Linked DNA regions of Nothobranchius furzeri. The protein of the gene in region 4 interacts with the protein of the main gene of each other region in a biochemical or structural test. Links are inferred from orthologs where the notes say so. Each region holds a gene or a part of one and is shown on either strand. Other genes may lie near its edges. The genes, in order: ncoa6, nr0b2a, srebf2 and hnf4a.

The links.
Region 1: the proteins of hnf4a (region 4) and ncoa6 form a complex in vitro, tested with the Homo sapiens proteins (2 studies listed by BioGRID). The link is inferred for Nothobranchius furzeri from reciprocal best matches to the Homo sapiens genes HNF4A and NCOA6.
Region 2: the proteins of hnf4a (region 4) and nr0b2a form a complex in vitro, tested with the Homo sapiens proteins (4 studies listed by BioGRID). The link is inferred for Nothobranchius furzeri from reciprocal best matches to the Homo sapiens genes HNF4A and NR0B2.
Region 3: the proteins of hnf4a (region 4) and srebf2 form a complex in vitro, tested with the Homo sapiens proteins (2 studies listed by BioGRID and IntAct). The link is inferred for Nothobranchius furzeri from reciprocal best matches to the Homo sapiens genes HNF4A and SREBF2.

Annotation. Positions count from the first base shown.
Region 1 is NC_091755.1:60,747,454-60,752,658, reverse strand, and holds the start of ncoa6 (nuclear receptor coactivator 6), read right to left. Parts: upstream 3,596-5,205; 5' UTR 3,467-3,595; intron 2,064-3,466; 5' UTR 1,984-2,063; coding exon 1,740-1,983; intron 1,597-1,739; coding exon 1,441-1,596; intron 1,349-1,440; coding exon 1,226-1,348; intron 83-1,225; coding exon 1-82. Other genes in the region: glutathione hydrolase 7, read right to left, coding at 4,894-5,066. UniProt on the Homo sapiens protein: Nuclear receptor coactivator that directly binds nuclear receptors and stimulates the transcriptional activities in a hormone-dependent fashion. Coactivates expression in an agonist- and AF2-dependent manner.
Region 2 is NC_091745.1:40,693,348-40,698,036, reverse strand, and holds nr0b2a (nuclear receptor subfamily 0 group B member 2a), read right to left. Parts: upstream 2,328-4,689; 5' UTR 1,889-2,327; coding exon 1,354-1,888; intron 1,269-1,353; coding exon 1,003-1,268; 3' UTR 801-1,002; downstream 1-800. UniProt on the Homo sapiens protein: Transcriptional regulator that acts as a negative regulator of receptor-dependent signaling pathways. Specifically inhibits transactivation of the nuclear receptor with which it interacts.
Region 3 is NC_091752.1:67,053,643-67,058,347, reverse strand, and holds part of srebf2 (sterol regulatory element-binding protein 2), read left to right. Parts: intron 1-697; coding exon 698-1,005; intron 1,006-1,095; coding exon 1,096-1,288; intron 1,289-1,393; coding exon 1,394-1,545; intron 1,546-1,627; coding exon 1,628-1,780; intron 1,781-1,856; coding exon 1,857-2,135; intron 2,136-2,208; coding exon 2,209-2,323; intron 2,324-2,398; coding exon 2,399-2,550; intron 2,551-2,718; coding exon 2,719-2,923; intron 2,924-2,991; coding exon 2,992-3,167; intron 3,168-3,419; coding exon 3,420-3,669; intron 3,670-3,740; coding exon 3,741-3,910; intron 3,911-3,994; coding exon 3,995-4,166; intron 4,167-4,240; coding exon 4,241-4,352; intron 4,353-4,429; coding exon 4,430-4,539; intron 4,540-4,705.
Region 4 is NC_091755.1:36,591,498-36,597,001, reverse strand, and holds the start of hnf4a (hepatocyte nuclear factor 4-alpha), read left to right. Parts: upstream 1-2,066; 5' UTR 2,067-2,344; coding exon 2,345-2,432; intron 2,433-3,241; coding exon 3,242-3,416; intron 3,417-3,603; coding exon 3,604-3,698; intron 3,699-4,379; coding exon 4,380-4,486; intron 4,487-4,557; coding exon 4,558-4,713; intron 4,714-5,145; coding exon 5,146-5,233; intron 5,234-5,326; coding exon 5,327-5,479; intron 5,480-5,504. UniProt on the Homo sapiens protein: Transcriptional regulator which controls the expression of hepatic genes during the transition of endodermal cells to hepatic progenitor cells, facilitating the recruitment of RNA pol II to the promoters of target genes. Activates the transcription of CYP2C38.

The DNA.
Region 1 (5,205 bases), about 24 Mb from region 4:
CCACTACTTCCAGGTAACATAGCCTGACCCACCATGCCAGGTCCAGGGGGAACCATTGATGGATTGGCCATCCTTACCACCCCTTGAAGATAAAATTGTGTTGATTAGGTCACCATTTCATAAACAAGGAAAATAGTCAAGAAAATACAAAAAAAGAAAACACATGAAAAAAAATGTATATATATATATATATATATATATATATATATATATATACACACACACACACACCATACACCTTTAGTTTCCTTTCAGAAACAACATTTTCTATGAGATACCATTTTACACCATACCATACTGCGAAATACTCCAGAGGTTATTTTGAAGAATGTAAAAAGGTATATGTTGCAATATGTCGCCGACTTGTTCATTCCATGTTTAGAAAACTTGGTGCTGTCCTTGAAATATATGGTGGTCATACAAAATACTAGATGTAATAGTTTTGGAGAGTGTATTCATTTTGCATCAACCAATTTTAGTAAAACAAAAGATTTAGTGATCCAAGTTATATTATTAACCTTAATGTCATGTTATGGCGTTAAACTAGTGTTCACTAAAACCGAGCCTTGTAAAAATTCTGGAAATTGTTTTTTTTTTTTTATCATTCAGCTACTGATTCAATTAGTACTTTTTAAAGGGGGTGTACTCATTTATGCTGAGAACTGTGTATATATAGCCTAAAATTATATCGCAATATTTTTTTTCTTCTGTTTATGTCAAAAGGAGAAATATAGAATACCATTTAAATAACATTTAATGTTCAAAACTAATTAAAAAAATACAAAATATCAAGTAATATTTATGTTAAACATTGTTAGAAACAATGCAACACAAAAATTCACATGAACCAAATAAAGATGAAGAAATTTTAAAATAAAATACAAGCTTACTGTGATGAAAGTTTGGAAACCTGCGTGTTAATAATATGTTAGAAGCTAATGGCATATAAGGGAATTAGCGTTAGCGTTAACAAGCGTTGATATGACTTCACTGTCGCCCAGAATATTTTACAGAGGATGTTTTTCTGCTCAGCATCAGACTCCTTAAACCTAAACCAGGCCAGTATAAATTATGTCTTCGTCTTCTCATCAACTTGCTCTGCGCTGAAGCTGCTGCTGCTTTCGACAGCATTCATGTGTGATCACGTTTGGACAGTAAAGCCAAAATCTCTACTAGTAGACTAGAGTACTGTTAATTTTTTTGTTAAACTTTTGGAAAAACTTACCTGGGCCAGGCTGACCTGGAAAGCCACCATCCATTCTCATCTGACCAGGTGCACCAATTGGTCCATTCACTCTGACTTCTTGTCCTCTGTTTGGTCCCACAGCCACATTAATTGCTCCCTCTCCTGAACACCAAGATTAAATCATTGCATAAATGAATTTTTATGAAGACAAAAGGAGGAGATCTGCATGAATTCTTTTTGGACTGAGCTATTACCTTCTATTTGCACAGAGAGAATACCCAGGTCTCTGAGCTGCTGCTGGTTGTTTTGGGCCAACAACCGGAGTCGCTCAGCAGCATCCCGGGGAATGTTGAATGTGACACGGACACTGTTCCACGGCTCAACATGTTTAGGCTGCAGCCGTTCTGGGCCTAAAATAAAGTGTATTTAGTTAGTGTTGGTTGGAAAATGCTTAACAGGTCAGTGCAAGATATATATTTTTGAATCAAATACACGTAAATGAGCTCAAATAAAACAAAGTAACAAAACAAATTGAATAAAAATAAACACAAACCCAAATTAAGAACATCAGGTATCCCATTGAGGATAGTTTCTAGTTTTTGAGTGAAGTTCTCATCATCCATGTTTCCTTGAAAGGCAACAAAGACTGTGAAGTCCTCCTCTCCATTTTCTCTAGTGTCTTCTTGCTCCATGGGTCCAACTTCTTCTGTTACGTTGCATTTCTCAGAGCTATCTGCGTCTTCTCCAGAATCTTCTCCAACACCAGAGTCTCTGTCCGATTCACCATCAGGCTCCATGTACGCAGTCTTCTGGGATGAGGAATGTTCAGCAGCTATCCTCCCTTCCTTGTTAGGAGTGGTGTCTAAACCGTTTTATGCTGTAATTACAGATTATTCAAACTTTAGATTACAGCATTTTCTTATCAAATACTATTATTCCATACTTTGCCTATCTCAAATGTATGTACTGCCCAGAAAAGTCTATGGTATTGATTAATTTAATAATTATTTGATAAATTATGCTTTTTCTATAAACTGTTTCAGCTTAAAGTAAAAAGCTGCTTACGCTATGGGTTCCCAATTTTCTACAATTTCGTAGAATGCATTTAAAATGGAAAGTTTTGGGAACATAACAGCTCATCTTAGAATATTTTTAATTTCCCATTAATATATTGAGACCTTCGACAGTTCTTAAAGAGCAAGTCACCCCCAAATCTACTTTTTTTTTTGCTGATAAACTATATAAATGTGTGTCTAAATGTGCTGCAGACACGTGTAGTCAATAATTTGGTACTTCAGTGCATCTTAGTTAAAATTGAAATATTCTGCCTAAAACTGTCAATGTTGCGCCGTTGTCAGGTAAAAACTCTGCACTGCATTTGAATTTAAATCTGCCACCGCTATTGGCTAAGAGGTATGCTATGATGTAAACTGGTACATTATGATGTCACAGTGCCGTTGTGAGCCTGTGTGTGTGTGTGTGTGTATTTGTTAGTGGCTCCGCCCTCTCGGTCTGCTAGGCAACAGCATTTGTTGCATTTTTCAAACATGAAGAGGGAGTGAAATAAGTTTCTTGTAGGGGGTGACTTGCTCTTTAATTGTTTTAGAAACCCTGAACACAGCCAAGAAACAACAGTTATAGTAAGTTGCTAGAGGCTGAAGAGTATTCTATATAACATTCGATTCGAGTAAAACAAAGACAAGCAAAAAAAGTCATAATTTCTATTTGCAAACCAGAAAAAGAAGCAAATAAATGAGTTTGTAACTCAATGAAGCAGACACCTGGAGGTGACATCACTGACCGGTGATTAGCTTATTAAGCAGAGGTGCTCTGATTGGTAGTCACATTACTTTCAGAGTTGTGAGATTTCTTGATATGGGAGTTAAACTTGTTAGTAATAATATAATATATTTTTATAATGATGATCATCCTGGTTTCAGTCACCGGCGCTGCAGGAGTGTGGGCCTTAACGCAGTAAGCTAACATTCAAACAAAATCCACAAGTAAACTCTGTTTCTTACCAAATTGTGCATTTTCATCGTGGTGCAATTAACACTTACATTTCAAATGTATACGTTTTAGCAGCACACAGAAAGAGTGAAATTGAAAGTGGTTCCTATTGGTTTTCCGAAAAATCCTGTTAGCATCAGTTAGCTATGTAGCTAGATGTCAGTCTCCAGACGCGAATGAATCCAAGCAGCGAACCGTAGCTGGTTTAATTTGCCTTTCAACAGTTTTCGTTAATAAAAACAAGGAGAAAGGAATATACAAAGACCTTACCAAACATATCCATATACGAATACGTTCAACTAGTCGACATCTGTTTGCTAGACAGGCTAACAAAATAGGATGAATGTCATAAGCAAGCTAACTAACAAAGGTTGTTTCCGGTTTTCTTTTTCAAAATAAAAGCTCAAAAGGTAAACGCACTCCTTAGGTTAACAAGTTCATGACTATTTCCTAAATAGTCCTGAATAAACTGAGCTGTTTTATCTATTTTTCAAATTGTATTAAATGCAAGTATGATGACAAATTGCGGAACACTGCTTATGTGGGTATGTGCAAACATTTTTATTTCACAAATTTGAACAAAACCGATTTTTCCTTCAATTATAAACACAAAATAATCAAACATCAGGTGTGCAAATGTGTGCATTAACAGTACACAAGACAAGACTCTAAGATTAGAAACCTATTTGATCAATTTAGTGTGAGAGAAAAACGTGTTCGATTTTACTTCTATTATTCCGCTTAATTGCACCAAAAACACATGACACCCATCCCGAAGAGTTCCAGGCTGAATATAGATTTTAGGAATAAAAACATCTACAGTCAAACAGTGATGTAAAAATTGATTTTACATTAAACTGTTTTAATTCCCATTCAGAGAACAAGGGTGACCCTCTCTCAAATAATTCTAATGATTTTCAAGAAAAGCAGCAAATAAACCACTAAAACTATATTAAGAATGCAAAAAGAACAGTAACAATATAAGAAATACTTTAAAATCAATAAAACCATCTCAGTAAAAGTAGTAAACCAAGATGTGGAAATCACATTCCTGTTAAACATCTCTGTCTGGGTATGTTATCACCTAACATGTTCTCAAAAAGAAGGTAAAACTCCAGCAGCTGTGCAAGACAACATAATCACAGTTACATGCCACACTACAAGCAAGGGAAGGACAGTTAGACAAAGACAAAGCAAGTCTCTTCACTTGTCATCTAGCAACATCCTTGGTAATATTTGGAATAATTGACAAAAAACATTAAAAAATAAGTTGACTGTTAATGCATGTACTGCACACTATGCATTTTTTTGTACATTTTACATTATTGGTTTATGATTTCATTTATTGCTCAATAATTTACCTCTGAAATTCTGACTAAACAGTGATAGAGAAAATACTCTCAAACATTCCTCTCATAAGTTCAGCAATTACATTATTTCATTTGCAGCTAACTTTAGTGCCACTGCTGGGTGGGCTTTTACTTTGAAAACCTTGTACCGTGTGACTCGAGCAAACAGATGTGAGGTGAACTCACAGAAAGCTAAGTGGATTTTTATTTAAATGGCAGTTTGCTGTGAGATTTTGATGACTGTAGTAGTTTGATCATTTTTATTCCACCTTTTCTTCTTTCACTAGTATCCTACGAGTTTGATCCCTGCTGTAATGTGAGTGAATACTGGAAAAAGTGATGGATGCACTAAGGTGTGTTGGAAATGGTGAGGGCAGAAGCATCAGCACTACGTGGGTCCTTCACTCCAATGATGAGGTCATTGGTTCTCCGTGTGCCTTCCACCAACGAAAGGACACCCATCCTTTCAACTGTGTGTCCTTTGGCCTTCAGCAGCTTCACGTCATCTTCCAAAAACTCAGCTGTAGGGAAACCAAATGAAGAAAAAGGAAGTTGTCAATCTGCGATCAAGAAGCATTGCTTGATTTATCTGTTCGGATTCAAGAACATCCCATTTTCTCCCCTACAGTAGATTATCTGTCTTGTCGCTGCAACACTGAC
Region 2 (4,689 bases), on a different chromosome or scaffold from region 4:
AAGAGAATGAAGAGTTTGGTTTCTGGTTCTAATCTGTTTTAGGACGCGTTGATCGTTGTTTCACGTTTTCTTGTTTCTGCTCAAATGAAGATGTTCAGTTTGAATGCACCGGGTTCTAAGTTTTCAGTAAATCTAGCAGATTACAGCCACCTTATCCTAACAACTCCAACATTTGGATGATTTCATATCTGCTGAAAAGAAAAATTGCTGCAGCAACAAAAATGTGTAGTTTTTTTCCACTTTGCACTCGATTTGAAGCATTTTGGACTCTCCTTTTGTCTTGTTTGTGTTGCCGTTTCCACGCGTAACCCCATTTCCACCGGCTCACCGCCCCCACCAGCACATTCCTGTTTTACCTGTACGAGTTGTCATGTAAAGACAGGGTTTCACAACTAACATACCACAAAGTAGGATGACTAAGCCTGATTTCTCAAATAACTACATGCAGACAGTGTTTTTTTATACTGCGCTGAGTTTAGCGTTCGTGCCATTCTGTCCCTTTTTGTGACGATGGGGTGGGGGGATCTTGATGCTGTGGTTTTGTGAGAAATGCAAAAGTAAGAAAATATTTGCCGCTAGTCTTCTGAGAAAAAAAAACTTCCACCAAACGTCCTCTAGAGGGAGACACAGCACAGCAGTACAGGCAGAAAAAAGGTTTTCTGTTCCATTTGAAGCCACAAATGTGTGTTTTCATTCTAATTTTAGATTCTCTCCTTTAACGCGCAGGCTTACGCTTGACTTTCTGAAAAGTTTGCTGAGCACAACATGTAATGGAGGATGGATCCACGGATCGGACTCAGTCGTGTACAAAAATATATTTATTCAAGTTTTCTGGAAATGCAGATGCTTATTTACAGCAGAGGAGCTCATCGACACGTAGGATCAAAACTCAAAAACCTCTCAGGAGTTCTGCTCAGACGGTGAAGTGACCTCAGCTTCAGCGGACGAAAGTCAAAACCCTAGTGTGCTTTATAGAAGCCTCTAAAGCACGCTGCATGGAGGTCACCATCCCGAGGACCACCCCTCCCATCGGCTGAAGAGCATGTCGACCAGCAGCTCCAGCAGGTTGGCCTGGCCTATCACAGGCCTGAAGAAGAGTTCGGTGATGAGGCTGGGTGTGATGCCCTGCAGCATGGAGGCTGTGAGGAGGATCCGAGCAAAGCGCTCCTGGTTGCCAGGGTGAAGCAGCTGGACCACCTCGCTCAGGGCGTGCTGAGCTTCCTGCTGCAAGCCTTCGACAAACAGGCCTGCCTTCAAATCTGGTACATCTGTTTGAGAGAAAACCAGAATTGTTGCTTGACAAACGAGTCCTTGGATTATCTGTTGTCTGAATCCAGTTAACGCAGTACATACCTGGATTAAATATCGTGGTCCCTTTCAGGTAAGCGTACTCCTTTGGGCTCACATCTAGACTCCAGAACTTTTTGAGACACGACTTGAGTTTGCTGATGCCTGCCATGGTTGGCTGCTCCCGCTCTGTTTCAGGGCTCTCCTGGCAGTTCAGGAGAATCTTCTTCAGCATGCTGTCAGCAGGGACGTCCGCCACCTCAAAGTCCACGCGCTCCTGGGCCAAACCCAAAATAAAAAGTGGCACCCAGCTGCTTTTAAGTAGTGCAAACTGGTCACTGGGTGGCAGCTGGTTAAACGCTGGCAAGTTCTTCATGAAGTGGACGGTTTTCACCAGAACTGCAGACGCCTCTTTGCAGACCACAGACGGCCTTTTTAAGCACACTCTCCGCCGCGTCTCACAGTTGCATCTGTGAGGAACGGAACTGTGGCTGGAGGTGTCTGGAGTCGGTCTACCGCTGTCCATCTGGCTCAAGATGTTGTAGAGGATCGGGTTTAACTGCCTTTGTTTGTTAGCGGAACACTGGCATCTGTTATCCATCTTTCTTCGATGCGGCTGCTCCTCTGAACCTCTTCTCTGCCACGACGGGCTCCGTCTGAGCTTCTGAGAGCTGCTGCTTCCTCCAGTCTTATTTATAAGGCCAACCCTCCCTTCTTAGTGGACCTTGAAATGTCAATACACCCAATGTGAAAAACAACCGCGCGCTCTGCCAGGTGACTGCTGGAATAACCCTGGGAAACAGATAAGCTTTTCTCATTGAGAAGTAGCTGCTGGAGTCACACATGGATATCAAGTGGGATTGGCCTTATCTGGAAGGCAGTGTCATCAACCCAGGCAGTACCAAGCTACCAAGGACTGCAGAGGTAATCAGCCCCACGCTGTGTCACTGCACCCGCCAGCTCACACCTGTAGTGCTGGAAGGAGGCCAGACCACAAAGGAGGCCGTTGACCTTCACATCGTGTTCTCATCAAACGTAGTTTAGTTTAGACAAACGTTTCCAAACCGGGAACAGTGGGAATTATGCTTCAATTTTAGGGAAACAGTAGTAGTAGCATAAAACCACCAAATAATTCCCGACCACAGCTGCAGTTCTCCGCTCCCCACGGGGATGGGTCAAATGCGGAGATGAATTTCAACAGTGTGTGATGACTAAAGGAACTATTGAAATGATTCCAAATGACTTCGGGAAGAATATAAAACAAGTTCATCGCTGTAGCGAGCCCCCTAGGGGCAAGTTGCATTGATAGCTTAACCTGTAACTCTGGGGTGGGAACAAACGGTAAAATGTACACTTAATGCATCTAATCCTCAGAAGTCCCAAAGCATACTTCAACCTTATAACCACTTCACCTACTAACCTTTAAAATCGGACCGGCTAGCAGCAACGCGACTCTACCACTGACTCTGTTTGCTCTTCAACGTTGATGTTTTCTCTCCACAAATAACACGAGCCTGGAGGAGGTCTGCTGTGTGGTGGAGTTGCTTGTGCTAACGTTAGCTTCTACTACCTCTCTGCTGTTTCCTGGATGCTAAGCCAACAACAGCCGCGAGTCAAGGAGGGTGAGTCCATGAATGTTAGGTGACAGCGTGGCGTAGATCTGTCAGGCTTTTCAAATCCTAGGTGTAGGAGACTATTTTCATGTTCAGCATGAACGAAACACTCGGAGACCGATTATAATCAGAAATAATAATTAAAACTTTTTTTCAGTGTTCCACACCGTTAATGGATATCCATCAAGATTTGCGTTTTAATTCTGCCTTTTCGATCTTTAACACGATTATTACACAGAAGATTAAAAGGTTGTTTGTGTGATCGTAAGGGTCGTGTGTAAGACCAGTTTTTCATTTGAAACATGCACAGAAGTGTTTGTTAGTGATCTGGAACGTAATTAACCCGTTTTACAAATGTCTGCTTCTATAGTTTCTTTGTTTGCATTTGCTTTTGCCCAGTTCCTGAGTAACAGCTGCATTTACGTAGAAGTTTTTGAACATGTTTATTTTGCTGTCAACACATTTGAAATGAAATGAGGCATTCTAACTGCAGATGTTCCGTTTGTGAGACAAACTTATCTAAAAAAGCATCTTGATCAAAAAAGAAATAGTGTTATTGTTTTTACAAATGTTACATTCTCTTGTTGTTGGCCATTTCACAACTAATCTCAATAATGTACATGTTTTTCTTCAGTTCAGATTATTTATATAGCTCCTAACTCAGCAGACGGCATCGAGTCACTGACTAGGTCTTTGCAGCAATCCTCAAAAGCAAGTGTGTAGCGACAGTGGGGATTGGGAAGTCAGCGCAAACACACACACACACACACACACACACACACACACACACACACACACACACACACACACACACACACACACACACACACACACACACACACACACACACACACACACACACACACACACCAAGTGGTGTTCCTATGGCTAGATTGTGATTTCTTATTAAATATTCTATTTAGTGAGAAATAAACTTTATTGTCTTTATCTGGGTGAATCTAATGGGCCATTCCCATCTGTACCGGGTCGGCCCGGGCCGGGTAGCCCCAGTCGGCCCCAGCCTGGCCCGGTTGATTCCACACATCCTTGCCTTAAGCCCATGTGGGCTGATTCTACCCACCAATCAGAGGCTTGCTCTAATGGAAGGTGTGAATTTGCTGTCAGCAGTGGGTGTGTTGGCCCTGGTCGGCCTGAAGCAGACCCCCTTGAGAAGAGGGCTGAGAATGAGCCTTGGTTGGCCCGGAAAAATACCAGGCCACCCAGATATGTAAACAACCTACGCTACCCGGCCCGGGCCGACCCGGTACAGATGGGAATGGCCCATATAACTGATTCAACAGGTGAACTAGTAGTAGCACATACAACGTTAAAGAGAGTAAAATGTTATTAATAAGAGAGGGAGTATGTTAAGTAGTTAGCAGCAGCATGCTAGCCGGCGGCCCGCTCCATGAGGCCACCACAGCTCAGCAGAACACCGGTGCTCTGCGTTAAGTTGCATCCATGTGCAATCAACCATAACAAATCATTGGATGGCCCAAACACACAAAGGATGTTTGCATCAACCTCAGTTTAGCCAAGTCTTCTATAAGAACATAACAAAAGGGACAGAAAATTAAGCATAGCTTAATAAACATAACAGCATGAACATAAGATGTATTTATTGCCACTACATCACCTTCTGCAGGGCAAACATGAAACATGAATTGTACAAAAGGGTGGTGCAAAGTTCTCAGCTATGAACATACACGTACAACGAAAGGGACAAAAAGAGATTTTAAATGTGGTTGGTTGATACGCAGGTGTGGGTTATTCCTGGGGAAGAAGTTGA
Region 3 (4,705 bases), on a different chromosome or scaffold from region 4:
ATAAAGAATAACTGGGTTATTTTGAAGAGATGGGACGGTGCATGGAGCAGATAAACTCAGCTGCCTGGACTCTGGTGGGTTCTTTAAAGCTCACAGCATCTATAAATGCGCTATTTGTCTGTGGAAGTGTCGGGATGCGGGACAGCGGGACGAAGTTCAAGGCTACGGGCCGGTGGCCCTGACCGATGGACGCCCGATCCGCGATCAGTCAGGAAATCTGAACTCTCGTTGGTCCAACGGTCGTGGCAGGTCACAGAAAGACCCGTCCTGACCGACCTGGGTGGGCTCCTCGTGTAGCTGAGATGTGATTGGTTAATTATTGATCGGTTGTGACCCAGTTCTTAAGGAAAGCTATCAGTAGTTGCACAACAGCGGCGTGGTTCAGGGCCGTGAAGATAACCCCCTCCTTTCTCAAGGTTTTCTGTGTGGCGGCTGCTTCGAGTTAACTCATCAGTAGAACGGTAGCGGCACCTGTGGGGGTCAAGGCGTCACGTCGAGGTCAGTTTGTGCTCTTATCTGTTAGCGAGGTTCAGACATCTTAATAAAAGCTGCACTCTGGTCTCTTTACTGCTTTCCATCAGTTTCAGGACCGCGGACACAAACGCCGGCCCAGTGAGGACCTCTCTTCGCTTAAACGTGATCCTCGTGAACGTTTCACATTTTTAAACATGTGACGGGTTTCTGGGTTTCTCCACAGAGATGCTGCAGTTCGTCAGCAACCAGGTGGGGGACTTCCCAGACATGTTTGAAGAACAGATGACCACGGCAAGCTCTGTGCAAGCTGTTGGCTCCGCCCCCCAGATGGCCATTCAGACACCCACCGCCACTGCCTACCTCGCTTCCCCCCAGACCCTGCCCCTCACCCCTCCCCTCACGCCTGCTCAGACGCCCTCCCTCGCCACCGCCGCCACCCCTACGGTGCAGCAGGTGACCCGCAGCCCTCCGCTGCTCCAGCCGCGGCCTCAGCCCATCCAACCCCATCAGACGTCCCAGCCCACCATCCAGGTATCGGCGTGTTTTATTCTGTCTGCGGTCGGGCTCCGTGTCAGCTAACCATCGGCTTTCTAAAGCAGATTCTGTTTGGTTTAAATGCAGGTGCACGCGCAGGGAGTTTCCTTGCAGACCCAGAACTTCCCGGTCCAGACTTTGGTTCAGACCCACAGCCAGACGCCCCTCCCCATCCAGACGCAGGCAGCCCAAACCGTGATGATCGCCTCCAACGGTGGACAGTCACGCTTCATCCAGAGCCCGGTCATCTGCCATCATAGTGCTGCTCCTAGTTTCCAAGGTGACCGCAGTGATGGAGAGGAGTAGATCTGCTGATGATTGTCAGCTTCTGCTGCAGAGCTCCGGCGCTTTAAACGTGATCAGATTTCTGTTTTTATTCCTCCAGTCATTCAGCCACAAGTGCAGAGCATCATGACATCGCCACAGCTGCAGCCAGTCACCATTCAGCATCAGCGCCTGCTGACCGCGACGGGTCAGACCATCCAGACCCTCTCCACAGCGCCCACCACAGTCCACGCTGTGCAGCAGCAGGTGCCTGTAAGGGTGACTAGCGCTGAGGTCGTCTGACCTGATTAAAGTTTCATTTCAGTAAAAACGAAAGGTTTATGCACCCCTTCAGGTTTTGGTCCAGCAGCCTCAGATCCTCAAGACGGACTCGCTGGTCCTCACGACGCTGAAACCCGACGGGACGCAGGTGTTGTCCACCGTGCAGAGCCCCGCGGGCATCGCCACCCTGACCACGCCCATCCAGAACGCCGCGCTACAAGTCCCGGTAGGCGGCGTGGGCGAACCCGCGACCAGCTCGTGACTGGTCTTGATGGGCCCTCACATCTGTCTTTCGTCCCCAGACTCTGATGGGCAGCAACATTCTGACCACCGTTCCCGTGGTGATGGGAGGAGACAAGCTGCCCATCAAACAGCTGCCTCCAGGCTCCTCCCCCTGCACCGCCGGGCCCAGGGCGAGCGTGGAGCCGAGCCAGGTGATGGCAGGAGGCATGGGGCCGGGAGTGGTGGTGAAGGAGGGTGAAAGGAGAACAACCCACAACATCATCGAGAAGAGATACAGGTCGTCCATCAACGACAAGATCATGGAGCTCAGAGACCTGGTCATGGGCAACGATGCGAAGGTGCAACCAGGAAAGGTGTTAGAGGCGTAACGGAGAAAAGCTGCATTTGTTTATCTCTACCTTCCCCACTCAGATGCACAAGTCCGGAGTGCTGAGGAAGGCCATCGACTACATAAAATACCTGCAGCAGGTCAACCACAAGCTGCGGCAGGAGAACCTGACCCTGAAGATGGCCAACCAGAAGAACGGTGAGTGTTTCTAAACACTCCAGCATCATTCATAGCGGCCTGACACTGAAACGAACGCGCCCCCGTCTCTCCCAGGGGCCGCGTCCTTACCCGAGGACGTGGAGCTCAAACCAGAAGTGGTGATGATGTCACCTCCCGCCTCCGACTCCGGCTCCGGTTCTCCTCACCAGTTCTCTCCGTACTGCGTTGACTCTGAGCCGGGAAGTCCTCTACTGGATCACGACCCGGTGAGTTGTTTCATCACCGGCAGGATTTACAGGTTTGTTTTGTCCAAACGTTCAGCGGAGATGACCTCCTGAAGGGCCTCAGTTTGGAGAAAGAGGTTACGTCCTAAATATTGCGGGAACTCTTCAAAGTGGCAGAAATCCTAATTTAAACCCGTCTTTGTGTTTCAGGTGAAGAGCGAGCCGGATTCCCCCTCCACGGTGGGGGTGATGGATCGCTCTCGGCTCCTTCTTTGCGCTCTGACGTTCTTCTGTCTGTCCCTGAACCCGCTGCCCTCGCTGCTGGGCTCGGAGGCCGCGGGGAACCCGGGTCTGTCTGCAGGCCACATCCCATCCAGGACTCTGGTCTGGTTCCCGACCCACTCCCAGGACTTCGGTGAGGCTTTAGGGTTTGTGCTTCCCTACAGAGGAGCCGAGATCTTACCTCGTGTTTTATCTCGCCAGCGTCGTGGCTGCGGTGCCTGTTGCCGTGGGTGATTGTCTGGGTGCTGAGTGGAGTGGGAGCTCTGTGGGGGTGCGTCAGGGTTCTGTACCTGTGGGAGCCGGTGACGCCGCTTCATTCGCCTAAATCCGTGTCCTTCTGGAGGCACCGCAAGCAAGCAGACCTGCATCTGAAGCGGGTGAGAACCGAAGCGGTGCGGGTGAACGCTGCGTGTGCTGGACTCCCTCTCTCTCCACACGCAGCGTTTTTACACCGAAGAGCTCCTCGCTCTCTCCTGCCTGTGATCTGATCCTTCTGATGTCTCTAGTTCTCCTTTTCCCCGAGCGGTTTTATTTTTTACTTTTCTTCCTCGTGTCCGAGTCGTGATCCCCCCCTCAGTTTTCTGCCGGTTCGGTCCTGGCTCCTTATTTCTCTCACCTCTCTCTCAAAGGGAGATTACGCGGCGGCGATGGCCAGTCTAGAGACCTGCCTGTCCGTGCTGACGAGAGCGCTCCCCTCCACCGGTCTGGACCTGGTTTGTTCTCTCTCCTGGAATTTTATTCGCTACTGCTTGCATCGCCCGACGCCTCTGGGCTGGCTGGTCCACCAGGTCGGAGGGAAGCACGAGGGGGAGGAGGCGAGGACCAGCGCCAGGGACGCAGCACTGGTTTACCACCAGCTCAGCCAGCTGCAGCTCACAGGTCAGAGGTCGTCTGCACAGTCAGCTCAGGGCTTCCCTCGTACTCACACCACCCTAAACGTGTTTCTGCAGGGAAGCTGCCTCAGCGCAGCAGCTGGTGGGCGCTGTCTCTGTCTCTGAACGCCGTCAACCTCAGTGAGAGCGCTCAGGGCAAGATGGCGCCGACTCAGCTGGCTCAGATGTACGTGACTGCAGCGACGGCCCTGCGCTCCGTCCTGGGCCACCACCTGTCCTGTCTACCTGTACGTGTCTGCTTCCCGCCTCCAGACCAAAGGCATCCTCGCATTTGCTTCTGCAGCTTTGACTCACTTCCTGTTTGTCTCCAGGGTTACCTTCTGGGCTGCGCAGAGGGCGTGGCCAACCAGACCGAGACCAAGCAGATCCCCGACTGCCTCCGCTGGCTCTTCACACCGCTGGGTAGGCAGTTCTTCCTGAGCTGTGATTGGTCGGTGAAGTCCGACAGCGGCGACGAAGTGTACACCTCTCAGAGAGACGCAGGTTTGTTTCTTCCTGTTTGGTTCGGTTTTTGTTTTGTGATTTGAATGAAGTCGACGCTTTGTGTTTGTCCCCAGCTGACCCCATCGCCCAGCTGCACCGATGTTTCTGCAGGAAGCTCCTGGAGAGAGCCGTTCACACGCTCATCCAGCCGCAGAGCGACTCTGATGGCGGCAAGAACAGCTGTGGGTGAGTCGCCATCCAGGTGCTCTGGTTCTTCACTCGCGTCCTCCTCCGTACAAATAACCGTCTCGCTCTTTTTCCAGGGAATTTTCCAACGCCCTGGAGTTCCTCGAGCTGTTGAATAGCTGCACAGAGGACTCTCCTTCCCCTCCTCCCCCCTTCCCGACTCCTCCCAGTCACACCACCGTCTCAGGTTTGAACACCACCCGTTTGTTGTTCAGTCCCAGGAAGACAGAGTTCCTGTTTCTCAGAACTCTCGTGTTTTAGTCTTCCGGCACAAATCTGTTTGTGTTTTATTTATTTTTTTCATGCGATTCAGTTTGTTTTCTCGCAGAAAAACTCAGTGTGTGACGTTCGGG
Region 4 (5,504 bases):
GACTGTAAGGTCCAGGAGAAAAGGAAATCTTCAGTAGTTTTCACCCATTTTCCTTTTTGATTGAATTTCTTTAATCTGTCAGTCTTTAATCAGTGGGACGCATCATCCTCAGATCTTCAGCGGAAGTCTGCAGGCGTGTTGTGGTGTTTGCCTACTGGAAGAAGAAATAACTTTACGATGGCTTCGTATAATTTGACTGCTTGGTTAACAAGCTCCCCTACATGAGGTTTACTGCCTCTGAGGTCTGCCTGAACTTGGGATCGTTGACCTGTGGCTGTGCTCTGGCACTTTCTCTTCAAATACAAGACTACTGTTTGCTGTCGCTTGTCAGAGGAGGACTCAGATTCAGATTCAGGATGAGTTGCAAAAGTCACACGTGGAAACTGCCCAAGCGTTGAGAAACACCAGTATTCAATATTACATCAGACATGGACATGAAATAGGAAATAATGATGTTTAAACACTTTCATTCATTTCCTCCCTGACACATAAGTTATCTTATTTGGCTTTAAATGAGTGGTGTTAGTGAGCAGTGAAACTCACTCTACCATCCTGCTCACAATCGTGTCGTAATCGTCTGTTTTCACGATTGTCAGCTTTTAAAAGGAGTGAAAAACTAGCCATCAAACTGTGCGGTTTGATCAAGGTTAGTGTGCTGTGACCTTTGGCAGCAGTGATTTATACAATACTTAAAAACACAAAATGATGAGAACAGGTGAGAAAGCCCCGCCCCATTTGGAGCTATATGGCTCAGGTAGACTTCACAACACAAATAGCCACATTTTTAACTAACTACGTCATTTTTGGTAATATTAATCATTGACTTAAACCAATACTAAAGTTAAAGTAATCCATATTATCTGCTTTATTTCTCACTATGTCAGATATCTCCCATGTCCACTCATACTTCTACTGGTTTTATAATTCAGCCTTTCATTAAGACTTTTGAGGATACATTGCAACAGCATTAAGAGACTGTGTGAGCGCACCACCAGTGTTTGATGACCTGAGCACAGGTGAATATTCACCTTGTAATTATCAGCTTTGGATTTGAGATAAGCACATTATTGAAGCTGTTAGGCTACTCCTTAGATTTGTCCTGAATGGTAAAACCTCAGAAGGTCAGCTGCTTGTGGGTCAGTCTGTATGTTATGACATCACCTTGCTTTAGCAAGAGTCAGTTCCCCGGCTAATGCGGCTCAATTCCGCTGATTCCAGATCGGAAACATTTGAATCCATGTGCTCTCAGATTGTTAAACCCACTGAGATTTTTTATGCTGATTTGCAGTGGCAGCATGGACGTAATTTTGGGGGGGGACAGGGGGGACATATCCCCCCCACTTTTTCCAAAGTCAAGTTTTGACCCCTGCACTTTTTACCGTCCAAAAACAATATTACGCTATATTAAATTGACACTGGTTGAGCTCTAGGACCAAGCAGAAAACAACCGTTGGTGTTGAAGCCGGTTTCCCATGAGAGTATATTGTAAAGATACACCCCCCCCCCATGTCCCCCCCCCCCCCATTTCTAAAGTGAAAATTACATCCATGAGTGGCAGCCATCTTGGAAGACTCCAGAGATTAATCAGTTGTTTATTTTCATCCTGTAGTTATATTCTGAGAGCTTCGTTTGAATCTGTTCAGCAGTTTAGGTGAGAAGCAGACAGACAAAAGCATTATGGCTGCATTTAACACACGTGTTGGTGGTAAGTTAGAAGTCCCCGTTGGACCACAAAATGTCATTTTTCTTAAATAAAAAAATAATTTACTGTGATTTTTCATTTTAAAGCAGAATAAAATCTGAAACAGGTTAATCTGTCCCATCCTGTTTACTTCGGCGACCTCCCTCTACTCCTGGTCTCAGCCTAGAAATGAAGTTAAAGTTTCAAAGAGCTGCGGCTGAGACTGACCCAACTTAATGCCCATGGAGGAAATGTTTATCCTCTATTTGACAGAGGAGTGTGCAGAGGTGGCTGAAGTCCCACCGTCTCCTAAAAAAAAGAAACTCTCAGTGATTCACCACTAAATCAGTTAGTTAACCATCAACCAGGGACGAGACACTCCACCTCTCGGATGGTTAGCTGCGCGAGGGCCGGAGGAGAGCTGATGTCAGTCACTGACTCCGCTGCTGTCTTCTCATCACACTCAGTCGGGCCTGAGACCTGTCCTGCTACGAGGTGGAGCCAGGCCCGGGAAGAGTTAGGAAGAGGGGGGTAACAGAGGTGTGTGGGGGTGTGAGAAAAGAAAGAAAGAAGGAGGAGGAGGGGGGCATCAGCTTCTTGGACAAGTCTATCTGCCCCTCTGTCAGGTAGTTGAGAATTTGTTTGCCCAAACCAGTGATAGACATGGACATGGCAGACTACAGCGAGGCTCTGGACCCAGCCTACACCACGCTGGAGTTCGAAAACATGCAAGTGCTCCCACTGGGCGCAGGTGAGTCCCAGATATGCAACTCTGACAATGAACTTTGAAACTTTTACTGATTTAAGACTGTTGAGGAGAGGTCGGGGGGAGCTCTGGCACAAATTGATAAAAGGGGTCAACTGTCCATCTGGGCCTCACTCTCAGGGCTGACCCTCCGCAGTGGTCCTCTTTTATCAGCTCACTGAGGGATTCAAGTTTATGAGATTGCTGCATCGCTCCTGGGTCAGCTGCTCCAAGCGGTTCTGACCTGCTTCAGCTTGCAGACTGATGTGGTGTCAGCGGACTGACTTTAAAGCCGGTGTATTATGATCTCCCTTCTCTCGTTACAAACCGTCTGTTCCCACAGAGCTTGAACTGAAGAGAAAGGATGCAGCGTTTTGCTGCGTTCTTACTGTGACACAGGCATATTTATACAGGCAGTCTCCCATGACGCACGGCTGGGTCCCGATTCTAAAATTCCCGATGGGAAAGAGAGGGAAGAGCTATGAAAGGCATGACATTTCTAACAGACACAGATCCTCTCCTTGGGTCAGTCCAATCTATCCTACACATTTCTACAGTGTGTCATGACACATGCTCTGATTGATTGAGCTCATGACTGTTTCCACTGATTACCTATTGAGAGGTAATCAAACCTCAACCATCTATTGACTCTAACTATCTGAGGCACTCATGACGATCGCTTTGATCCTTTGCGGTGAAGCTCGTTTGCGTTTTTCTGCTCGTTCACACCTTCCAGAGTCAAACTCAAACTCAAGCTTCAAATGGAACAATCCAACCATCTGATTGGATTTCTGTGCTTCTCTGCTGTGTGTTAGACAACTCGCCGGCTGAAAGCACCAACATGAACGCCACCGGCCACCTGGCAGCGGGCAGCTTGTGTGCCATATGTGGAGACAGGGCTACAGGCAAACACTACGGGGCCTCCAGCTGCGACGGCTGCAAGGGCTTCTTCAGGCGAAGTGTTCGCAAGAACCACATGTACTCGTGCAGGTGAGGACACGTGTCGTGCTGGAAAATGTGAATAAAAATCCACTCGAGTTACCTTCTTCCTTAAATTAATTATTGTGCAATTTGCTTTAAAATTATAGCAAATATAGTAACGCCAAATATCAGAACAAATGTGCATTAACAGAACTCCTTTTAGAGACATCCTAACACGTTTTCCATCCATTCTCAGGTTCAGCAGACAGTGTATTGTGGACAAAGACAAGAGGAATCAATGCAGATACTGTAGACTGAAGAAATGCTTCAGAGCCGGCATGAAGAAAGAAGGTATGAAACATTCATCCGTTTGAAATAAACCAAAAACAAACAAACCACGTAAAACAATTCTCTGCGTGTTAAGGAAATCACTCCACAGATGGAGCTGTCTCCATCCAATTGATCCAACTGGTCTGCTGGTGTCGCAATCCAGAGGAGAGCACCACTTTGTTAATGTTCACTCGGCAGAGCGCTCAAGTCTCTGGCCAGCTTATGCTGAGCAAACATTTCAGAGCAATAATGGTCGTATACTGATAAACACGACGACCTGAGAAGACTTAATCTTTTTTTGTCTCGGGATCTCACTTTGGGTGTGGGGAAAAAAAACCCACCTGGAACAACTTTTGGTTTTGTTAGGCATAAACTCTGTCAGCTAAGCTGATGATGGAGGCGGTAAATGTGTAAAAGGGGCGACGGTGGCAGAGGAGTTAAGTGCCCGCCCAGTAACCGAAGAGCTGCAGGCTCAAGCCCCGCTCCGTCTGACTCGGCGGTTGTGTCCTTGGGCGAGACGCTTCACCTCCGTTTCTGTAGCTGTGTCTGTGATGTAGCTCCTCACCACCATCGTGTGAATGTGTGTGTGTGTGTGAAACGGTGAATGACTGGTGTGTTGTAAAGCATCTTGGAGGTTGGATTCTAGAAGGCGCTATAGAAACACAAACCGTTTATCATTTTCCCGTGTCTTTGTGTTTTCAGCTGTACAAAATGAGCGAGACAGAATCAGCACCAGGAGGTCCAGCTACGAAGACAGCAGTTTACCGTCCATCAACGCGCTCATTCAGGCCGATGTCCTGTCGAGACAGGTGAAGCCCAGGACAGACGTGACACCGGACGGCTGAAACGTGCTGTCACTTACACGTGTTTCCTCGTGCAGATCACCTCCCCCGCTCCCATCCTGAACGGAGACATAAGGACCAAAAAGATCGCCGCCATCACAGACGTCTGTGAGTCTATGAAGCAGCAGCTGCTGGTCCTGGTAGAGTGGGCCAAGTACATCCCGGCCTTCTGCGACCTGCCCCTGGATGACCAGGTGAGACCCAGACACAGTGTACACAGAGCTGTTACCACTCTGGTCACTCATCAACTAGTCCGGCTATAGACACCCCCCCACCACCACCATTTGCTTTTCCTCCATAAAATAAAAGTTCAGCTGACTTAAAACAGAGGGTTGAGCCTGAACGGATCTCTGAAGGCGATGTAGATCTTCACACTCGAACCTTCAACCAGAATGGTTAATGTATTTAATCCTGAGTTAGAATATGATGAGCTGGTTTTCAAAGATTGAGTTGCTCCATGAAAAGTGCAGAATCATTAACACTGTGGTCACTGGGCCTTGGTAACTGATTTGCTGATGCAGTGTGAGAACCTGGGTCTCCTGCCAGAGCTTCTTCTGCTCGCCATCTTTGAAAAAAATAAAAAACTTCCATAAAATGTCAGTCTTGTTCTTTTACTTGTGTTCCAGGTAGCTTTGCTTCGAGCTCATGCAGGAGAACATCTTCTGCTCGGTGCAGCCAAGAGGTCCATGCTCTACAAAGACATCCTGTTGTTAGGTAAAACTAGCACACAACAGAGTGTTTTACAGAACAGATAGATTTGGTTCCTTATGAGAGATTTTGCCTTTAATTCACGTGTTTCTTCTGCAGGAAATGACTATATCATTCCTAGAAACTGTCCGGAGTTGGAGGTGGGCCGGGTGGCCGTGAGAATCCTGGACGAGCTGGTTCTTCCTTTCCAGGAGCTGCAGATAGATGATAATGAATACGCCTGCCTGAAGGCCATTGTTTTCTTTGACCCAGGTCTCCAAGCGCCTTTTCATGCATA